2 linked regions of the Elephas maximus indicus genome follow. The protein of the gene in region 2 interacts with the protein of the main gene of each other region in a pairwise test. Links are inferred from orthologs where the notes say so. Each region holds a gene or a part of one and is shown on either strand. Other genes may lie near its edges.

What was found. The genes of interacting proteins can lie anywhere in the genome.
Region 1: the proteins of MKRN2 (region 2) and RACK1 interact in binary tests that used the Homo sapiens proteins (3 or more experiments, as listed by UniProt). The two-hybrid records come from large-scale screens. The link is inferred for Elephas maximus indicus from reciprocal best matches to the Homo sapiens genes MKRN2 and RACK1.

Annotation. Positions count from the first base shown.
Region 1 is NC_064820.1:199,936,278-199,943,237, reverse strand, and holds the start of RACK1 (receptor of activated protein C kinase 1), read right to left. Parts: upstream 2,944-6,960; 5' UTR 2,892-2,943; coding exon 2,783-2,891; intron 2,527-2,782; exon of another isoform or gene 2,459-2,526; intron 1,772-2,458; coding exon 1,600-1,771; intron 1,232-1,599; exon of another isoform or gene 1,156-1,231; intron 987-1,155; coding exon 839-986; intron 615-838; coding exon 519-614; intron 1-518. Other genes in the region: uncharacterized protein LOC126067361, read right to left, coding at 2,944-3,392, 4,983-5,086. UniProt on the Homo sapiens protein: Scaffolding protein involved in the recruitment, assembly and/or regulation of a variety of signaling molecules. Interacts with a wide variety of proteins and plays a role in many cellular processes.
Region 2 is NC_064838.1:37,723,394-37,730,767, reverse strand, and holds the start of MKRN2 (E3 ubiquitin-protein ligase makorin-2), read right to left. Parts: upstream 3,009-7,374; 5' UTR 2,904-3,008; coding exon 2,878-2,903; intron 1-2,877. UniProt on the Homo sapiens protein: E3 ubiquitin ligase catalyzing the covalent attachment of ubiquitin moieties onto substrate proteins.

The DNA.
Region 1 (6,960 bases), on a different chromosome or scaffold from region 2:
CCTATGTAACGAGGTCCCCAAAAGACTCTAGTCAGGGAAGCTCCAAGGGCTTCCTGGTTGGCAAAAGACAGTGATGGACACGGGTGGGTAGTGTCCCTTTTGGGGCCGGAAGCTCCATGTTGGCAACGCTATCCAGTATCCAGATGCTGCCCTAATGAAGCTGTAACCCAGTAAGTGTAACACTTTCTGTGAGTCATTATAGTGAATTATCAAACCCAAGGTAGTGGGAAGATCCCAGATTTGTAGCTATCAGGTCAGAAGTGAGGGTGTCACAGGGGACTCCCAAGCTTGTGACCAGCACGAAGTCTCGGGAAGACCTGGCATCTAGAGAACACTAACATTTAGCTTGTGAGATCTGACCTAACTCCAGGTGGTTGGTTAGGATGAAAGGCATGCTGGACAGAAATGTCTCAGGAGAGAATCTGCAAAGGTTTCCGAGTTGGAGCCTATGACCATCTAGATGCAATGGGAGCAGTTTCTGGCTGGTAAAGGCCTTGTGGCCCTGGTTCCAAGCTCACCTTGACCAACTTATCCCAGCCACAGGAAACGATGATGGGGTTGCTGCTGTTGGGGGAGAAGCGGACGCAAGACACCCACTCCGAGTGGCTCTCATCCTACAGGAGACAGAGAAATAAGGGGAAACATTCTGGCCCATGAAACTCTAGACCACTATTCCTCCTCTCAGCTATGTGAGATGGATGCTAGCAGTCTTATATTCTCGTCCCGAAACTTTTAGATGCCAGACAATACTTGAAACCACCACACGTGATTAACGTTTAAGAGGAAGAGCGGGAATGAACCTCAAAGATGCACTCTTTCCCCCATGCCTTCACTTTACCTGTACAGTGTACTTGCAGACACCCAGAGTATTCCACAGCTTGATGGTTTTATCTCGGGAGCCAGAGACAATTTGCCGGTTGTCAGAAGAGAAGGCCACACTCAGCACATCCTTAGTATGGCCCACAAATCGTCGTGTGGTGGTGCCCCTGAGAAGGAGGACCTGGTCACTCTCTACAGACACCTTGCAAACTTTCTCCTACCACAGTCACATCATTTTCCGGGCCTTGTCCCTGTCCCCAGGGGATTTTCTTTACTCAGATAACCCAAGCTATGGCTCTGACCACAGCAAGCTTTTGTCTGAGTATATGCCAGAGAATCCCTCAGAATTGCAGGACATGTCCTCACTCCCACATGGGGATCAGCTGACAATGTCATCTGTCATCACCAGGATGCTCCATTATAATTGTCACCAGCTGACCAACACCCAGGACAGAGCTACCAAGGCCAAACATTTTCAAACCACTGTGTGTACTCCTAACTGCTTCACTCAATTCAAATTGCCCACATGGCACTGTTGTTATAACGCTTGGCTGCTAACCAAAGGTTGGTGGTTTGAACCCACCAGCCACTCCACAGGAGAAAGATGTGGCTGTCTGCTTCTGTAAAGATTTATAGCCTTGGAAACCCTATGGGGCAGTTCTACTGTCTTCTAGGGTCTCTCTGAGTCTGAATCAACCAAGGAGGGAGGACTCAGCCATTTTCCTCATTTCTGCCCAGCTTTCCCCCCAAGGCCCCAAAGCTAAGCGAGCAGGTACTTGCGTTGTGAGATCCCAGAGGCGCAGTGTCCCATCCCAGGAGCCAGAGAGGGCAAACTGGCCATCAGAGGAGATAACCACGTCACTAACAAAGTGAGAGTGGCCACGCAGAGCACGCTGGGGGATGCCATAGTTGGTCTCATCCCTAGTCAGCTTCCACATGATGATAGTCTTATCTAAGGAGAGATAAAACAAAAAGTAAACCCATTGAGAAACTCTGCCCTCCTCTATACTAGCCATCCTGCCAGTCTGAACTCTGCAGCTACCTTGCTGATTACTGGATAATCCAAAATGTCTCGAGGTCATGGGTTTACAAGATGACAAATTACAGAGAAGCTTGACAAGGAGGTAAACTATACGCTAGTAAGAAGTTACTTGCTGGAATAGAGAGATAAAACTAAAAAGTCTTTCATACAAATGTAAATCAGGGGTTCAGAATTTTGCTAGGGGCTGAGACTGAGATCAATTCAATAACCCTTTCGTGTCCTATCTGAGGTCTAATGCAGAAACAGAGCAGCCTGGGTGTAGAGGACTCGTCGTGGGCACCGGGACTATTTTTGAGGATTGCCAGAAGTGAATCAGTGTTGGAAAGTTGTTCTGCACGCTACAGGGTTGGATGATTTCACTAAAACGTGTCCTACACTATAAACTTTACAATTAAGGGCCAGCCCTAATCCTAGCTTCAAAAAACTCCCAGTGTGGGAGCATTTGGAAAGCACAGGAAGCCTCCAAACGCACTCAGGCCGACCGAGAATGAGAGGAAGAGAAGCCAGGGCATAGAGTAGGTGCCGGTCAAATCCAGGTTTGTGCCATGGAGCTCCCCTGGAGACCACCAATTCCCAAAAGAGCCGAGGGCCGGGCGACAGCTCAGAAACAGCCTCTGGGTCTCAGCACCTATGCTCAGATGGCATGTTGTAATCATCACCGCTCCGCCAGGCCTGTAGGCTCGTGGGCACAACTAGCTACACCGTGCAGAAGCGTGAAGGCTATAAAGAAACCTCCCACCCTCCTGGCGGCCACAGGCTGTTCCTCGGTACTTCATTAGCAATGATGGGAATGCCTTACCGGGCTCAGCCGGGTCACATGTCCCCCCTCAAACCCCGGCGGAGTCTTTCGGACCCGCGACTCGCGCACCACAGCCCAGCCTCGTAAGGCGCGCAACCCTCCTCCTGCACCTCAGTACGTACCTCGCGAGGCAGACAGTATCATGTCCGGGAACTGTGGAGTGGTAGCGATCTGGGTAACCCATCCGTTGTGGCCCTTGAGGGTGCCACGAAGGGTCATTTGCTCAGTCATGACGGCGGCGGGTGCGAGGGTCGCCGCAGCGACGAGGATGGCACCAGATAGCTCAGAGAGACCAGCAGCACCGGCGCTCTCGCCGCGGCCCTGCGTAGAAAAAGATCGAGGAACCCACTGCCGGAACCGGAAATACCCGCCCGCCCGACCAAAATGGTGGCTCCCATGATTCACTTCTGCTTAAGATGGCAGCGCCATGTAGCCGAAACAGCTGTTGAAATCGCACGACACGTCCCCTCCGCCACGCAACATAATTTGACAGCTCCGCACGAATACACTCTGAAACTATCACGACCGAATATTTAAAGAGGTTCCTTAAACCTTTGCTGGGGTGTGATTTCTTAGACGTGAAAGAGTTGAAATGTACGGCACATTCCCATGAGGATCGCCTTACGGCTTCACCGTCCGCTAGGTGGCACAACGCGAGCCCCGCCCTTTCCGCTTGGTAGTTCAGAGGACAATGAAGCGGGTACTTAATTTCGAGATCCCAACTGTGAGTACCTGTGGGCAATTTGGGGGAAAAAAGCCGTATTAAAGAAACATAAACTTTCGAACCATGCTCAGGTGAACTCTCAAACCCTAACATATTTTCATGCCAGAACGCCGCTCAGGGAAGTAGATCGGGAGGACCGCAGCCGTTATCACCTGTACAAAATAAAGGGGGGATTGTATATAGTATTTGGAGCCCTGGTGACATAGTGGTTAAGAGCTCGGTTGCTAACCAAAGGGTCAGCAGTTCAAATCCACCAGCTGCTCCTTGGAAGTCCTATGGGGGCAGTTCTACTCTGTCATATAGGGTCGCTGAGTCGGAACGGACTGGATGGCACCCAACAACATACATATTTACTTTCTATTTGTAATATGCTTTAACGTTAGTCTCTTCTCTGAAATACGATTGGAAATGATAGTGCCTACCTCACCTGGTGTTATGGAGAGTAATCGAGTCAAGAAAGGTAAAGCGCCCAGAACAATGCCTGATAGAATTAATCTGTGTAACTTATTTAGTTCACATCCCTTGGGCACCACGTCGTGTTTTAGGTCTTGGTGATACAGCTGCAAAGAAACGAGGACCCCCTTCTTGGCGCTTACATTCTTTGGTGGTGATGGGTGGTTGAGTGGGACATTGGAGACAGGAAATTAGATCTGGGAGAGGGCCATGTGGAGAGATGGGGGAACAATGTGCCAGTCAGAGGGAAGGCATATGAGGAAGAATGTTTCATTTGGAATAAAGAGTTAGTGCAAAGGTCCTGAGCTAGAGTGTCAGAGAAAGAGTTATTGGAGAAACTAAGGACAGAGCAGTGGGATGGAGGTGGGGGCAGTTCACATAGTGCCTCAAGGATTTAGGGAAGGATCTTGGCAACACGTGCTGGAAGGCTTGGAAAGAGGATGGCAAAAGTCAGGGAAGGAGGCAGTGGCAGCCCCATGTTGTGAAGGCCAGGACCCATCCCTTGTGGCCACCAGACCTGGTCCAGTGAAGATTCCCCTGCAGCTTCCTTTGGGCATTTGGCCCTGTCCTGGCTGCCCCCTCCTCCTCCCCAGCCTGATGCCTGTCCTCCTAGGGCCCCAGGTGTGGACATCACCTGTCTCCCTGGCACCCCCAAATGGTTGTCCTTTCACTATTGCAACACTGAACTCTCCCCTGACCCACATGTTTTCTTTCTTCTGCGGTCGTGGGAGCCCCATGCTTTCACCAACCCCAATATCCAGTTCGCTGCCCGTGATTTGGGTCAGGCCATCCTGGCCCCATAGGTGCTTCTCACAAATGGAGAGGTGAGTTACTCCAGTGAGTCTCTGGTGTGCTATGCAAGGGCTTCCCCACTTCCCCTGGGAACATCATAAGTTACATTATTACATCCCTCTCCCCGCCTAAAATCAAAAACACCTCATCCTGCTGTTTAACTTTGCCCAGGGAGCCCCTGTGGAAATCTGCAACCTTGAGGTAGGACTGGGGAGTCTGGGTTTAAAATGAGGCCCCCCCTGCCCCCCACTCCCATGTGCTCAAGGATGGGACCTTTCTGCACTGCCCAGCCCCTTTCCAGGAGGCTCTGCCTCTCCAGAGCACCTCTCCCACATCCTCCCCCGCATCCATACCTCCTCTTTCCTCTTTCTGGAGACCCGGACTTCCAAAGGTGCCTTCTGCTTTTGGCTGGTCTCCCTCATCCCTTACTCTATGAGCTGATTCTAGCAGCGCCCTCCTGTGGAGGTGAGGGAGAAATTCTTGTTTTGCCACAGAGCCCATGGAGCCCAGGGGAATGTCAGTTGGAGGAGAGGGAGAAATGGAGTATACGGTTCACTTCTCAGACGATCAGTCCCTGTAGGATTTGGGCTTTTCCTCTGGAGTTTTCCTCACCCCCTTCCTTCCTGTTTTAAGAAAAGGGATGCTAGTACTTTTCAATGGCCACTGAAGGACAATCCTGAGCTGAGGGAGTTGCCCCAACCTTGGGGACCACTTGGGGTGTAATTTGGGGAGGGGATGGAGGTGGAGCAGCTGCTTTTCCAGCTCAGCACCCACCTGGGTTGAGCCCCATCCATGCTTGCTTACCGGGTATACGTGCCTGGCCTGGGTTAGGGACCCTACCTAGACTTCTCATTCCTTGGGAAGAATTTGTGGATTTGCTCTTGGCCAGCAAAGGGGCCCTAGTGTCCTGCCTGTGACTCCAGGCTGGTCCCTTGTAGCAGTGTGACATCTCAGCTCTACAAGGCTGAAAATTAGCTACATTCCTCCCACGAGAAGTCTGCATTCACCAGTTTGGGGTGGGCCTTGTCCTTGCCCAGGGAAGGGCTCCTCTCAATGATCATTTTTTCTTAATCCCACAGAGGTGGAAAGCCTGTTGGAGGCCCCCCTCCCCCCGCCAGACTTAGAGCTCTCTGCATGCAAGAGCCTTCTTCCTGCTCTGTCTACCTCCCTCTCTCCTCCTAGCCCACTGCTCTGTTGGCAAAGCCTTCTTCACTGGGCCTACCGCTTCTGGCCCTAGTTCAACTTAGTCTTACCCCGTCTCTGAGCCTTTTGACTACCCCCGTTCTCCCACCTCTTAAGCCCATGAGTACCACCTCCACTCCACACAAGGTAAGAATGCCCTTGGAGAGGCTCTTCTAAGAGTGGTCTCTCTAGGATTCTGATCACCATTCCTTTACTGGAGGGAGTCCACAGGATCACACAGTTGAAAAGAGCTCCTCATGCCTCCCTGCCAAAGGCCTGTTACCTCACTGGAGTGACCATTTCTCCAGGATCAGAGGCCTCCCCCCATCCCCACATCAGCACTTAGGGACCATTGGGGGTATGACAGGTCTTCTCTTGGATGCTGAGGTCAGGGCTGTTGGAAGTGGTAGGTGAGGGAAAGGTCACCAGGACTAGAGGGCCTGCTTGCTGTCTGCTAAAGTTCTGTAGGCAGGTGGCTTCCTCTTGTACTTTAAGATCAAAATCTCTACTGTCACCATCCAGATCCAGTGTGGCTGGCTCTGGAATGCCCCAAGCTGTGTTTTGTAGCCATGCTGGCCCTCTTCTCCTCCTCCCACCCATCAGTTCTTTCTCACATAGAACTTTTATACACACTATTCTTCTGTCTGGAAGGCCTGTGATATCCCACTCCTCTTCTCTTATTAAATCTAAGCTTCCTTCCAGCCTCAGCTGGTGTTGCCTCTTCAAGGAAGCCCTCTGTGATGCTCAGGTCTAGGTCAGGTTACTTTGTTTCATGGCTCATGGTAGTGTAGGGTATGCTGCTCCTTCATAGCACTCAGCTCAATTTGCAGTTATTTGAATTCCTCAAGGCTCTCTTGGGAGTGCCCTGAGAACAGGGACTGGCTTCTTTCTGACTTGCAGCATCCCCAGCACCTGGTAGAGTATGTGGCATGTGGAAGACTTAACCTTGGTGGCTAGTCTCACAGGCTGAGTAGTAAAGGGCGAGTCATTAGAGGGAGGGGAGGGTATTCCAGGGAGAGGAATGGGGGTTGGTGCAGAAGGAGGGAAAAAAGTGCATAAGTCAAGTGGTTTGTGTGCACAAGTCGGAGGGATGGCTTCAAGAGAAGGAATAAAGGGAGTGGACAGAGTAAAACCCCAGGTGGAAAAAAG
Region 2 (7,374 bases):
GGCTAATCCAAGCACTGGTTGAAAAATTACTGCAATTATAACAAAAGAGACTTCCTAAGCTAACTTGTCATCTGCTTAACATCATCCCATTCATCCTCATTAGAATAGACTGCACTCGGTCTACTTGGCTGTTGGCCAATCAAATACCATCACACTAAAGCTAGCTTTATGACTGAAAAATCTCACTTAAGAGGTTTAAAAAAAAAAAGCTAGTTTGTGATGAAGCAGGCAGTAAAGTTCACCTTGCAGAGCTGAATGTAATAAATATACTGGGACAGTCCAATAATGAACAGGGCACTGGCATTGGGATGAAGACCCCTGTGTCTATTCCCATTTCTGTGCATTTGCTTGCCTGATTAAAGAGTTTTAAAACACAGAGTATACGGGTCTGGAAGTAGAAGAGGCAACTGGAAGTCTGCTCAGATAGAGTAACACAGATTAAAGGTACCCCACTTCCTTTCATTCAAATAATAGACTGGCTTATAAAATAAACAATATTACCCGTGAGTACTGTACTCCCTTACATAATCCACTGTATGAGAACAAACCGTCAACATTTACCCTAATGCAAAGATTAGAAGCAGGGGCATGAGAGCTAGATTAATGGAAACGGAACAGAATGGAAATGAGAATGCTGACACGTTGTGAAGAATGTAACCAATGTCACTGGACCAATTTTTGTTAAATGGGATCCTAATCTGCTGTGTAAACTTTCACCCAAAACACAATATTATTAAAACAAAACAAAACTTGGTACTCTTGGTAATTTTGCAGATTTTTTTTTAAAATACTTGTTATGTTTATTTGGCAAGGAAGTGCTTCTGAGGTCTGACTTCCCTCATACTCCTTTGCAAGTAAACACCTTTTCCTTTCTAAATGTTTGCGTTTTCCCTTCACATGACCATATTAAAACCTTAGAAAAATCCTACAGTCAGAAGCTTTAACTTAGCATTTCCCAAACTTATTTGGAGGCCATATAGTTTATGAGAGCATGGACTCTAATGTCACACCTCTGCCACTGAGTGGATTTTTGTGCGATCTGTGGAATGGTGTTGGTTCTGGATTACGTGAGACATGGCTGGTAGAGCACCTAAAAAGCACCCAGAACATACATCAGCCCCCTAAATGGAGATCTTTTCCCAACATTCCAACCTACTCTTAGTTTACATGTAACAATATTCTATAGGATGCCCCTGTTTGGGAAATACAGGATTAAAGTTCTCAGGTCAGGCCATCTTGGGGTGTAGAAGGAATAAAACAAGATGATCCTGATTTAAATTCTTAATTCTGCACTTCAGTGTAAAATTTGGGGCAAGTTTCAAGTACTTCTGGGTGTAAGCTTTCCTTATCTTTAAAATTAGATACTATAAGGAGTTGTGATTCACTTATAAAGCATTACATAAAGGTGCCCTCTTTTGCAGACATTTTACGAGCTGTAGACTGGGTTCAAGAATGGTAGAATTAAACCATAAAAGTAGATGGAGGAATAGATAAAACTTCCTACGTAGCAAGCTAGTATTTGCTTTTTAGTACGCAAAGACATAGGAGCATTCCCTCCAACAGGAGAAAAAATATACGCAAATAATATATATGCAGAGATCAAAAAAAGACCTTCTAGTACAAATAACCTAGCAAAAGTCTTTTCTATGGACACTAAATTCATCAAATGTCTAACAACTGCTTAACAAAAGCCACCTGGGCCTTGGATAAACTGGATGAACAGTTTATACACACTAATGCTAACAGAAAGCTTTAAACAGTCACTTATCAATTATTCATACTAATGAAGAGAAGTAACACTATCGATTATATGTAAATGAACTGTTTATTACATAACCAAACTATACAGCTTTTTTTTTTTTTTTTAGCAATGTTTCCCAAACAGGTATTGCTAATATCAATTATTAAAATAAATTTGTATCTTCCAAGCATACAATTCAACAGGACTGGGGTTCCAATACCGTTAAGCTACAAGCTAACGAAGGAGTAAGAGTGTTACGCAACCAAGCTGTTTCCATTTCACAGCAGCAATCAGACCTTAGCCATCTGGTTTTGAATTTTCTACACTAAATCATCCATTGCTGTCGCGAGCATTTCTCCAGTAAATGGGTCTCTCAGTAAGATGAGGGCATCAGTCAATCTCTTTCAGCCTCAGTTTCACGCACCGTAAAATGGAAGCAAATGTGCCTCGCTGTGAGCTCTAGTGACAACGTATATAAAAGGCTTGGTAACATGCGGGATGCTTAACAGGTTTTCGGTAAACGCTCCCTGTGTTATTTTCTGCACAATTTTTACTAATTCTATGCCAGTTCAGGTTACATCCGTGTCCTTCCAACTAAATCTTCAGCTTTTCAGCTAGAAAGTCAAAGGCTGGCTGACGGGAAGCGAAGGGGCTCTGGGTCCCCCAGATTCTTCGAGGATCTTCAATCGCGTAACCACCCACCGCGGCGTGGTGCCCTCGTTAGGAAACCACCAGAGCCCTTCACTCAGTTTCAAATCTCCCTTCCCAGCGACACTGCAGGCGCCAGGAGACCGCGTCCCACCCCCGGCCCGCTCCGGCCCAGCCGGCCTCCTCCCAGCCGCAGGCGCCCAAGCCCGCTGCGCAGCCTGCCCCGCCGCGCCCGCGGCTCCGAGCTCGGCCGGGGGACACGGGCCCGCACCCGCCGCGGCCCGGGCTCGGGCTCCGACAGCGCGCTAACCCGCTCGGAAGGCCCACGACTCTACTCGGCCCTGGGCTCGCTGCTCCGGCCGCAGGGCTAGGGCGCTGCGGCTGCTCGGGGCCGGGAAGGGGCGCCCCCGGATTCCGCGGCGCCCGCCGGGGGGCGCTGGCCACCCTTCGGGCCACGGGCGGCCTGTGCCGCGGCGCCGCGCACGGACCTGCAAGTGACCTGCTTGGTGCTCATGGTGGTCGGGCTGGGGGGCAGTCGTCGCGCCACTGCCTCTCGCTGTCGCCCTCGCCGCCACCGCCTCGGCCTTGGCCCTGCCCATCCCGCGCGGCCGCGTCACGTCGGCGCGCACCGCCCTCCGCGTGTGGCACTTTTGTAGCGCCGGCCAGAAACCTGACCGCCGTCATAATTGGTTCCGCCGCAGAGGGTGGGCATGGTCCGGTCCCCCTAGCCTTGCCGTCTGTGTGCCGCATTTCTAAGCCTCCGGGGCGGGTCTTGGCTGGCGTCCTAGTTCTCCCCGACTAGTTCCGGGTCCTCATAGTTCTTAGGATTTGGCCGGGTCTCCAGTGGCAATCCCTAGCGACGTCTGCTGTCTCTAGGGTCTCCTCACACCTTCCCCTGGCCGAGCTCCCGCCTCCTCCCCGCACACTTTCATCCCAAATACCCCTACTCATCCAGGCTTGCACTCCCTAGGCCCCTTTCCCCCTTAAGGAATTTTTAGTCCCCTCTGACTCTTCTTTACCCTTTTTTCAAAATTTCTATTCCCACCCTACTTTTTAGTCCTCTTTTCCTTTCCTGACATTCCTGTGATGTTCATCTTCACTTCCTACGGTGGAAATCCAAAAAGACAGTCTTCAAACTTACTCTGATTTACTATAACCTGCACAAAAATTTACTCAAAATTAGCTCTTACTGAAATGTAAGCACAAAAATTACAAAACTTTTGGAATAAAATATAGAAAATTTTTATGACCTTAGATTAGGCAGATTTCTTAGCTATGACATCTGAATGATGTAAGAAAAATATGACAAATTGCACTTCATCAAAATTAAAAACTTTTGCTCTTCAAAAGACACTGCTAAGAAAAGAAAAGCCACAGGAGAAAATGTTTGCAAATCATTTACCTGACAAAGGTCTTGTATCTAGAATAAAGAATCCTTAAAACTCAGTACAAAAATAAAGATCTAATTAAGAGATGGGAAGACACTTTACCAAAGAAAATATATGAATGGCAAATAAGCACAGCATAAGAAGCTCATATCATCAGCATCATTAACAATTAAAACCACAAAATCAAACCCATTGCTGTTGAGTTAATTTTGACTTAGAGCAACCCCATGCGTTACAGAATAGAGCTGCTCCGTCACGTTTTCTTGGCTGAAATTTCTACGAAAGCTGATCCCTAAGCCTTTATTCTGCAGTGCTGCTGCTGGGTTCAAGTCATCAGTCTTTAGTAGTTGAGCACAAACTGTTTGTACCATCCAAGAACCTCATTAATAATTAGGGAAATACAAACTAAAGTCACAACAAGATACCACTACACACCCACTTCTTGTTGTTGTTGTTAGGTGCCATCGAGTTGGTTCCGACTCATAGCGACCCTATGCACAACAGAACGAAACACTGCCTGGTCCTGCGCCATCCTTACAATCGTTGTTATGCTTGAGCTTATTGTTGCAGCCACTGTGTCAATCCACCTAGTTGAGGGTCTTCCTCTTTTCTGCCGACCCTGTACTCTGCCAAGCATGATGTCCTTCTCCAGGGACTGATGCCTCCTGACAACATGTCCAAAGTATGTAAGACGCAGTCTCGCCATCCTTGCCTCTAAGGAGCATTCTGGCCGCACTTCTTCCAAGACAGATTTGTTCATTCTTTTGGCAGTCCATGGTATATTCAATATTCTTCACCAACACCACAATTCAAAGGTATCAACTCTTCTTTGGTCTTCCTTATTCATTGCCCAGCTTTCACATGCATATGATGCGATTGAAAATACCATGGCTTGGGTCAGGCGCACCTTAGTCTTCAGGGTGACATCTTTGCTCTTCAACACTTTGAAGAGGTCCTTTGCAGCAGATTTACCCAATGCAATGCGTCTTTTGATTTCTTGACTGCTGCTTCCATGGCTGTTGATTGTGGATCCAAGCAAAATGAAATCCTGGACAACTTCAATCTTTTCTCCGTTTATCATGATGTTGCTTATTGGTCCAGTTGTGAGGATTTTTGTTTTCTTTATGTTGAGGTTTAATCCATACTGAAGGCTGTGGTCTTTGATCTTCATTAGTAAGTGCTTCAAATCCTCTTCACTTTCAGCAAGCAAGGTTGTGTCATCTGCATAACGCAGGTTGTTAACGAGTCTTCCTCCAATCCTGATGCCCTGTTCTTCTTCATATAGTCCAGCTTCTCGGATTATTTGCTCAGTATACAGATTAAATAGGTATAGTGAAAGAATACAACCCTGACGCACACCGTTCCTGACCTTAAACCAATCAGTATCCCCTTGTTCTGTCTGAACAACTGCCTCTTGGTTTATGTACAGGTTCCTCATGAGCACAATTAAGCGTTCTGGAATTCCCATTCTTCGCAGTGTTATCCATAGTTTGTTATGATCCACACAGTCGAATGCCTTTGCATAGTCCATAAAACACAGGTAAACATCCTTTTGGTATTCTCTGCTTCCAGCCAGGATCCATCTGACATCAGCAATGATATCCTTGGTTCCATGTCCTCTTCTAAAACCAGCCTGAATTTCTGGCAGTTCCCTGTCGATATACTGCTACAGCCGTTTTTGAATGATCTTCAGCAAAATTTTCTTGCGTGTGATATTAATGATATTGTTCTATAATTTCCACATTCGGTTGGATCACCGTTCTTGGGAATAGGCTTAAATATGGATCTCCTCCAGTCAGTTGGCCAGGAACCTGTCTTCCATATTTCTTGGCATAGACAAGTGAGTACCTCCAGTGCTGCATCTGCTTGTTGAAACATCTCAATTGATATTCCGTCAATTCCTGGAGCCTTGTTTTTTGCCAATGCCTTCAGAGCAGCTTGGATTTCTTCCTTCAGTACCATAGGTTCCTGATTATATGCCACCTCTCGAAATAGTTGAATATCGACTAATTCTTTTTGGTATATTGACTCTGTGTATTCCTTCCAGCTTCTTTTGATGCTTCCTGAGTCGTTTAATATTTTTCCCATGGAATCCTTCACTATTGCAACTCGAGGCTTGAATTTTTTCTTCAGTTCTTTCAGCTTGAGAAACGCCAAGCGTGTTCTTCCCTTTTGGTTTTCCATCTCCAGCTCTTTGCACATGTCATTATAATACTTTACTTTGTTTTCTCGAACCGCCCTTTGAAATCTTCTGTTCAGTTCTTTTACTTCATCAGTTCTGCCTTTTGCTTTAGCTGCTCGACGCTCAAGAGCAAGTTTCAGAGTCTCCTCTGACATCCATCTTGGTCTTTTCTTGCTTTCCTGTCTTTTCAGTGACTTCTTGCTTTCTTCATGGATGATGTCCTTGATGTCATTCCACAACTCATCTGGTCTTCGGTCACTAGTGTTCAATGCATCAAATCTATTCTTGAGATGGTCTCTAAATTCAGGTGGGATATACTCAAGTTCATATTTTGGCTCTCGTGGACTTGCTCTGATTTTCTTCAGTTTCAGCTTGAACTTGCATATGAGCAATTGATGGTCTGTTCCACAGTCGGCCCCTGGCTTTGTTCTGACTGATGATATTGAGCTTTTCCATCGTCTCTTTCCACAGATGTAGTCAATTTGATTTCTGTGTGTTTCATCTGGCGAGGTCCATGTGTACAGTCACCGTTTATGTTGGTGAAAGAAGGTATTTGCAATGAAGAAGTCGCTGGTCTTGCGAAATTCTATCATTTGATCTCTGGCATTGTTTCTATCACCAAGGCCATGTTTTCCAACTACTGATCCTTCTTCTTTGTTTCCAACTTTCCCATTCCAATCGCAGTAATTATAAATGCATCTTGATTGCATGTTCGATCAATTTCAGACTGCAGCAGCTGATAAAAATCTTCTATTTCTTCATCTTTGGCCCTAGCGGTTGGTAGGTAAATTTGAATAATAGTCATATTAACTGGTCTTCCTTGTAGGTGTATGGATGTTATCCTATCACTGACAGCATTGTACTTCAGGATAGATCTTGGAATGTTCTTTTTGACAATGAATGCAACACCATTCCTCTTCGAGTTGTCATTCCCAGCATAGTAGACTATATGATTGTCCAACTCAAAATGGCCAATACCAGTCCATTTCAGCTAACTAATGCCTAGGATTATCGATGTTTATGCATTCCATTTCATTTTTGACGATTTCCAATTTTCCTAGATTCATACTTCGTACATTCCAGGTTCAGATTATTAATGGCTGTTTGCAGCTGCTTCTTTTCATTTTGTGTCGTGCCACATCAGCAAATGAAGGTCCCGAAAGCTTTACTCCATCCACGTCATCAAGGTTGACTCTACTTTGAGGAGGCAGCTCTTCCCCAGTCATCTTTTGAGTGCCTTCCAACCTGGGGGCTCATCTTCCAGCACTATATCAGACAATGTTCCACTGCTATCAGACAATGTTCCACTGCTATTCACACCCACTAGAATGGCTAAATCATAAACATTGACAATTCCAAGTGTTGGTGAGCATATGGAGAAAACTAGAACACTCATACATTATTGGTGGGACTGT